Nothobranchius furzeri: one gene and its partner. The protein of the gene in region 1 interacts with the protein of each later gene in a pairwise test. Links are inferred from orthologs where the notes say so. Each region holds a gene or a part of one and is shown on either strand. Other genes may lie near its edges. The genes, in order: xrcc4 and aplf.

What was found.
Region 2: the proteins of xrcc4 (region 1) and aplf interact in binary tests that used the Homo sapiens proteins (3 or more experiments, as listed by UniProt). The link is inferred for Nothobranchius furzeri from reciprocal best matches to the Homo sapiens genes XRCC4 and APLF.

Annotation. Positions count from the first base shown.
Region 1 is NC_091746.1:37,558,927-37,562,753, forward strand, and holds part of xrcc4 (DNA repair protein XRCC4), read right to left. Parts: intron 2,069-3,827; coding exon 1,902-2,068; intron 1,515-1,901; coding exon 1,383-1,514; intron 1,173-1,382; coding exon 1,021-1,172; intron 1-1,020.
Region 2 is NC_091746.1:29,719,215-29,723,715, forward strand, and holds the start of aplf (aprataxin and PNK-like factor), read left to right. Parts: upstream 1-1,688; 5' UTR 1,689-1,805; intron 1,806-4,501. Other genes in the region: fbxo48 (F-box only protein 48), read right to left, coding at 1-139, 291-584. UniProt on the Homo sapiens protein: Histone chaperone involved in single-strand and double-strand DNA break repair.

The DNA of each region.
Region 1 (3,827 bases):
TGAATGCACCAGCGACAGATGCTAATTCACACCAGCAATCAGAGATTCATGAGGACTCTTTATTTGCAAAACATGTAAGGTGCTTAAAACAGATCTAGAGAACTCACAAGAGGTGTGAGAGGCAGACAGACAAAAATGATTTTTTACAGATCATTGGCTTATCATGTCAGTGCCATTAGAGAGCCGACACTGGCCCGAAGCACATACTGTAGGTGGTCATTCCACCCCAGCTTAATGTTCATGCTCAAAATGATTATTTTACCATTTAAGTCAATTATTTTGTTTTCAACCAATGCCAGTTGAGGTCAAGTATTTTTAAAAACCTAAAACTACATAAATTAAAGTGAACATTTTCAAAAATTTAAAGCACCCAAAGAACACTGGAGCATAAACCTGTAGGTGTGTTGTAATAAAGACCGACCGACAGACACATAAATAGCTGTCAGATGTTAAACAATACATCTGTTTATATATTTTTAATGTAAAGAAAATATCAGCTTAGCTGGATTATTAGATTTCCAGTTTGAGACAAAAACGTCTCGGTCATCTGCTCTATGTAAAAGATTTCATCAGTGATTATTTTATCTTGAATAAATAACTAAACTAGAAAATGTGATCTAGAATAAAAGACTGACACTGAAAAAACAACAATAGATTCTCAACAGATATTATTAATAGCCATATAGAGCCTTTCAACTTTAATCTGCTTCACTAGCTGGATTTATTTAACTGGAAACTGTGAACGCGTTCAAATATATATACCCAACTCCTACTTTACAAAACACTTTAAGAAACATTTGATCTTACCAAAATATCAGCAGGTTAGAGCTTTACAAGAATCTGTCCAGTAAAATCAAATCCCCCTCAATAATTTCAGTAAACTCGCATTTGCTGCTTGCTGGCAACATTCAGTTATCTGATAAAGTGAAATCATTAGTGAACACCTACCACTGGTGACACTAAATGGTTAACCAGTTGATCATATGAGTGTTCTGGAGAACAGCAAAGTGACTATCGTACCTCTGGAAGGTAGATCAGGAACTGGTGTTGGCTGCACGTCCTCTGGCTCTTCATCAGTGCTGCCTCCATACTCATCCTCCTCCACCTCACCACCCTGACCTGCTGTTTGGTCTGACTTTGCAGAATCTCTGCTCCTCTGTCCATCAGAAGTCCTGTGGAGGAGCCACATTAGAATGATACAAAGCTTTTTAGGTCACCGCCAAACTTAAAAAGAAACTCAGTGACTCAGAAAATGTCATAAATACAGAATCAAAGACATTTTTTGAGCATCTGAAGCTCTGAAGAAAATGTGAGGCACCTCAGCATGCTGAGTTTGTGCACCGATGGTAAACTTGTAAAGATGGTTAATGTGTAAAACGTACTTTGCTTCCTGCAGGTTTGTGACGGTTTCCTGCAAACTGCGGATCTTTGCTTTCTTCTCATTGAGGACCAGAACAAACCGAGAGTACAGCTCTGCCTCAAGGGCCTCTTTACCCTCAGAGTAGCCCTTCAGCCTGGAAGAGGAGACACGCAGGCGCACACACACACACACGCACACACACACACACGCACACACACACACACTGATTCTTATCCGGATATAATCTGACTATATTTGTGATCTCACATTTTAACCTGATAATTAAGAGGCTCACAGAGGACAGATAAGAGCTGGCCTCCAATAGCTGTTTCCCTCACGTGACATCTGCAGCTGTGTGAAACTCAAATAGGGGGTCGGAGTAAGTCATTCCGCTCTAAGAGTCGTTTTGTTCGCGACCGACATCACCAATTCGTAGCCTTTCAGTGTTTCTGAGCAATGGTACTGTCTGGCCTATATGTCACCTTGAAGCAGCGGGATTTGTTTGTTTGCTGTGCACGTGTGTGTGTGCGTATGTGTTTACTGTGCAGTGATGCTCTGGTGTTCTCGTCTCAGCCTCTGGTTCTCCTCTGTCAGTTTGTGGTTGCGCTGCTGCAGAGTGTTTCCTCGCTGCAGACTGTGGATCAGCACCTGCCTTACTGCCTCCACTGGCTCCGAGACGGCCTTCAGATGGACACAGCCCAGTCTGAACTACAGCAGACACAAATAAACCTTTATTTATTGAGTACGCCTGAGCCCGTAAAACAACGGTGTCTGGATCTGCACATCTACATTCATCCATAAAAAATAAAGCATCTCAAATGTATTCATTTCATGGATTTGGCTGATTGATTTGTTTTCTAGTTTCTTTGGTACATTATCAGCAGTAGCCATGGTATATGGGTCACTCTTTCTTTGAAAATGCTTGCTGGATTTAGACAAGTTTTATAAATTGCTTCACACTGCTTTTCACTACAACCCCATGTTTCTAAAGGATGGGAAGCAGTTTCAAACGTAAACTAAACCAGAATTAAATGATCAAATCTCATCAACCCATTATGATTGAATAAGTACTAATTACTGTTATATTTCATTATTCCTTTAATTCCTACTGTATAAAAAATATTTTGTATGTTATTTGTGCTGTAAAACATTTAATCACTACAGTAAAGTTAAAAAGGAGCCTAAGTCTCCTCCCTTTCCAGTCGGCTCTTGGGTCACCGGAAGAACAAAAAAATGAATGCAAGTCAACGGGGCTAAAAGAGCTATTTTCTAATCCACTTTGCCTTAGACCCTGGATCGCACATATGTTGTACTGCTATTTAAATGAAAAGTAATGTCGGGTGTTTCGACCACACCTGTCACATACTTTGAGATTTATCAGCTTGTAAAAGTTCATAATTAGCATGGCTACAAATCAGACATCAGCACGTTGCATATGTGACCTCAGAATCTCCTCTCCACTAGCGTAGCTGCTACTTACCACATGGCCATATTTATGGTGGTTCTTTCCTCCTGAAGGAAGGATTTGAAGTTTTCTGAACTTACAGCCATTTTCTCTCTGTTTTTATCCGTGCCTGGTTCGATGATGTCACTTTGGTGATTCACATTTGTAGTCCTGGGCTTATTTTCACACAAAATCTAAAATGGTGTTTCTCTCCGTTCGAAAATAAGCGAGTTCTTGGCATCAGACTGAGTCTTTAAAGTTCACGGACATCATATGTGAAATCCATGGTACATAACAAGCAGAAATAGAAAATAACTTGCATTCATTTTTTCTTTCTTCCAGGGACCCATGGTCCAGAAGTAGATGGGTGTGACTTAGGCTCCCTATCGGCGTCCACAATGCTACACCATTTTACCCTTACACCGTTTATAACAGACGTCTTTTCAAAATTTCAGTGTTTATATATAATAATAAGTATAAAGGAATGAATCAATTAAATAAATTGGACTTTGTCAGGAATGTAATCGTTCAAACATACCGGTATTATTACAACGCAACTTAATAGAAACGTGGTCCTCCAAAGAAGAGGCTGAGGGTGTTGACGAAAAAATGACAACCTGAGGAGGAATGTGTGCATGAGTGAAGCTCATATATCTTCATGTTGATGCCTCATGGTGTGGGTGAATGTCTGCAGGCATGTATTATTGGGGAAGTTGTGACTGAACAGGGAGAGCGGTTGTACACGTGGGCAAGATACTAAACTCAGAAAGTTACCATCTGAACAGCAGCTCACTGCTCCTCAGGGATGGGTCAGAGAGGAATTTCCCCAGTAAATGAAGACAATTTCAAAGATTACCTAAATTTGCAGGCATACTCGTTTTGATCAGAGTGGGATCATCTGATAGGAATACCTTTAATCTCAACTAAAGTAAAGCCTTTTTCTTGATTATTCCTTGATCTGATTCTTACTCAGGGGAGTTAAAAAAAACATCTTTCATTATGTATGATGTATTCTCACCTTCT
Region 2 (4,501 bases), about 7.8 Mb from region 1:
GGATCTCTCCCCACGTCTCTGCATCAAACGGTACCATTTTCCTCCCCAGCAGCTCGTCGGCTGAGCTCACGCTGCTGTATCGGCCTCTCAGCCAGTCTCTCTTCGCACAGCTCCGGGTGTAGTTTCTCACCAGAGTTACCTGAGACAAGAGGCGGGACAGAAAACACCTGGTAAGTGTTGGTACCGTGATCTGGGTCTGGGTCTACAGCGGCAACACTGAACAGGAACCTCTCAGCTGATCAGCAGCAGAGATGTTTAGTTTGGATATGAGGGAGGGCGAGGAGACCCACCTTCCAGGAGAAGCCGTCCCCCCGGTCTTTGTCCACCTCCCTCTGACAGACCGCCCGCACCAGCAGACACTGCCGCCTCCACAGCTGCTCGCTCTGCTCGATGATGTCCCGCCACAGTCTGCAGGTCCGTGAGGCGCTGCAGAGGCTCTCTGCATCCAGCTCTCCGAAGATCCTCACGCTCATCTCCATCGGCAATGCTTCAGCAAAGTTCTGAGAGTCGTCAAAGGCTTTCGGGGAGGCTCTTCGTCCACAGAGCAGGGACACGGACGACCTCCTGGCAGGGTCATGCTGCATATTACTGCAATAGTCCAGAGCAGCAGCAGCAGCAGCAGCAGCAGCAGCAGCAGCAGCAGCAACGCACGAGAAGTTCTCTCTGAAACAAAACCAGAAACAAGAATCAGGGTCAGCACAAGTTCAGAACCCATTAGGAATAACAGTCCCAGTCCCACCAGGACATTTAATCAGCTGTTTTCCAATTCAATAACAAATAAAACAGGTTTAGTTTCTGACATTTTAAATTTATGTTTGATGAATTTTACCAAATTAATAAAATTTTATTTAAACAGTTTTCAGTTATTTTTATGTTTTCACATAAAATTTAATGTTTTTTCTTCCCCTCTAATTAAATCCTCTCTTTTGTCTATATCTTCTTACAGTTTTGACTAAAAATCCTGAATTAAGACAAAACTTAAGTTTAGTTTCGGTTCCAGGAACTTTGAGGAAGCGGTTCCATTTTCCTGAGTGGACCTCAGTCCAGTCCTTCTCCTAGAACCGGAACATCCTCACCAGAAGCAGAATACTTCATTCATACACGCACTACTTGAGGCTGCATGGTGACGCAGTGGTTAGCACTGTTGCCTCACAGCACAAAGGTCACAGGGTCGAAACTCGGCTGCAGCCTTTCTGCGTGGAGTTGCGTGTTCTCCCCATGCATGCGTGGGTTTCCTCCGGGTACACACATCACAACACGCCCTACAGGTTATAAATTGTAAGACGCTTTGGATAAAACACAACATACTACTTACTTCTACACGTGATAATAATCTGAATCTGACCCAGACTGCCAAATCATTCTTGAACAGAACACCGATTTGAGTCATTAGTCTGTGATAAATAACCAAAAATCACCGCTAAACACGAACTCAACACAGAACCGGAGCTCGTTGCATGGAGCAGGCCAGTAAACACACTTGAGTTCGGGTTTGAGAGCGGAACCAACCTCCAGCCTCCGCCCCGGTTATTCAAACAGCTCGGTTCTGAACGAGTCGGTTTCAGGCTGAAATTGGAGATGGCGGTAAAAAGGTTTTCACTGGTTTAATCAGAGGCTCTTACCTGCGGCAGATGTCTGACAGCTGGTGTTGCGACAATCCGTGCTCCCCGTCGTAATGCTACTTTGGGGAAATGCGCATGCGCCTATTGCGTCACAGGCTGTTTACAAGTCGAGACCGCTACCTGTGGAAGTTTGCGTTTAATCTCGTCACTTATCTAGTTACTTTCAACTCTTCGAAGGTCACAGTAAGTATTTCTTTAAGTTGTTTTGTTAAATTACTGTTTGCTGTATGTTTACCTGACAGTTTGCTTGTAAATGCCTTCTAAAATGTCGTTATTATACTGTAAACAAGAAATTTCTCCCATTGTTTACAGTCATTCTGAAAGAGTCCCAAATTAACATCCAAAAGTTTTATATTCTACTGTTAGCAGAGTCATCAATCGTGCTGATGGAGGAAATACAGCCTCATCACTGCTTAGCTTCTCAATCAGGGAACACCGGTTTCTTCTGTCACGTCATCTCTTATGCGTCACTGACAGCGATCTCATTGGTTGAATTAAACCACATGACATTAGTTAACAAAAGATAACCCATAAGTATTTACAATATAAACATACAAAGATAAAGGTATACATACAGAGATAAAACAAATGAGAACACAAACATAATAATGTAATATAAATCAATATTAAATCATGATCTTTTGCAGATCTCAGTTCTTAACATATACATATAATAAATTTATCATAGTTGCATAATAATCTCCAAAATTATACATTCAAACAAATAACTGACTGTTGGGGGAAAAGCATGTTTGTTCTATGTAGATTAATTTTTCTAATAAAGGAAATACAAATCTCCATTTTTATGAATACTTTCGACATGGGTGAAAGTTGGTAAATCGTCATTGTTCTGAGAATATTCAAATATTTTAGCAACTAAGGGGTTAATTTTTACGAAATGACTAAACTGCTTCTTACACTATCCACCTTTTTTTCATAAAATAAATTAACAGTAGCTACCGATTTTCAGTAAACCTGGACAGACTGAATCAGCTGTTGAAATGCGCGTTGGTAGGAAAATTCGACGAGGAAGCACGGATGTTTTTTTAACAGGTTTTATTAACTTGTTGTCGATACATTCAGAAAATACATTCAATATATCCATGGATCACATTTTACAGTTGTTTACAACTGCAATAACACACATGCAACATTAGGAAACCATTAAACAAACAAACAAGAAATAAACAAAGAACTGACGAAAACATATATAACTTAAAAACATAACACTTAGGGGTCTGCTGTGTCTAAGTTGAAATGATGAAATAAGTTGATGATCTTTGTTAGTTTGTTGTTCTTCTTTTTTAATTTTTCAATGCTGTTCCAATATTTCATAAGGTCTGTAATTCTTAAATTATAGATGGAGGGGATACTGTTCTGAAAAATTTTTATGTAAATAATATTTTGCTAAAATAATGATTAAGTTAATTATGTATTTTTCATTGGATGATAAATGAGGGTTAGTAACAATAAGAAGTATTTCATACATAGAAATATTTTTTGTAAGTTTTTGGAAATGTATCTTTGTAAATGGAACCAAAACAAAGTTACATGAAAGCAATCAACAAAAACATGGATAGAAGGTCCCAACGGTCGTTCAGCAGGACCGAGCGCAATTTGTGGCAGCGGCAGCGCTTGTGGCACTTACAGTGGCAGCTCTGATACTTCCGGGTGGTGCCACGGCTTTTAGTGGCACCCGCGGCTTTTAGTGGCACTAGCCACGCCCCCTACCACTGCTGCCATTACACTTCCGGGTGGTGCCACGACTTTTAGGAGTAAGGTCTAGCTGCGGACATTGCCCAGGAAAAACGTTTTTCCTGGGCAATGTCCGCAGCTAGGTATTATTGGATTATTGACTTTTAGTGGCACTAGCCACGACCCCTACCACGGCTTTTAGTGGCACTAGCCACGCCCCCTACCACTGCTGCCATTACACTTCCGACTTTTAGTGGCACTAGCCACGCCCCCTACCACGACTTTTAGTGGCACTAGCCACGCCTCCTACCACTGCTGCCACGGTACCTGCGGCTGTAGTAGTGACCTCAGTAATTGCAGCACTTATGCATCATCGGCCTCATCATGCCAACGTTTTTATTTTTTACTTTATTAACAAAATCAAAACAAACAAGGCTGTCACCGAAAATATTTGAAATATTTCAAGCGGTTTACAAATGCGTTTCCCAGTCACTTCATGCATATACAGTGTAATGCAATCAGAAGCGTTAATGCATTTATTTTTTCCATCATTTTTGTTGCTCCCCCAGACGAATCCGTGACAGATCTAGTGGAAGATCCACAGACACTTCCGGGTGGAAGACCGGCGGTGGGTCACCGGCCTCCGGTACAGAGTCAGGAAAAGCAGGGGAGCACCAGAGCCATATGGAGAGCGCCAGAGCAGTTCTCAATTTCTGAAATAATTTATGACAACTGCTACCAATGTGGATTGTGGAATAAAAAGAGATAAACTGTTAGTTTTCTCAATATTGTCATTGCAATCGGGACAGATACCGCCATCTGCCGGCTTAAAATGGTTATTGCAGTACATTTTAAACTTTTTTAAAACTATTTCAATCTTCGTTTTCACATACATTCAGTTTACAATGTAACCTACATTCAACGTACTGAAGAATAAAGCAAATAAAAATGACCTCAGTTGAGGAAAATAAAAATTACATTTAGAATTTGCAACAATTACCACATGACACTACACCATAAAATAAATCATGATGCAAAATAATAATAAATTAAAAATGAAATATCATCAACAAACAAAAAATGTTCAGAGGTTAATATTTCAGCATTATATTTCAAACATGTATGATTAATTGGACTGTAATTTAAAGAACAAGAAACTCAGACATTGTTTCGTACTACTCATA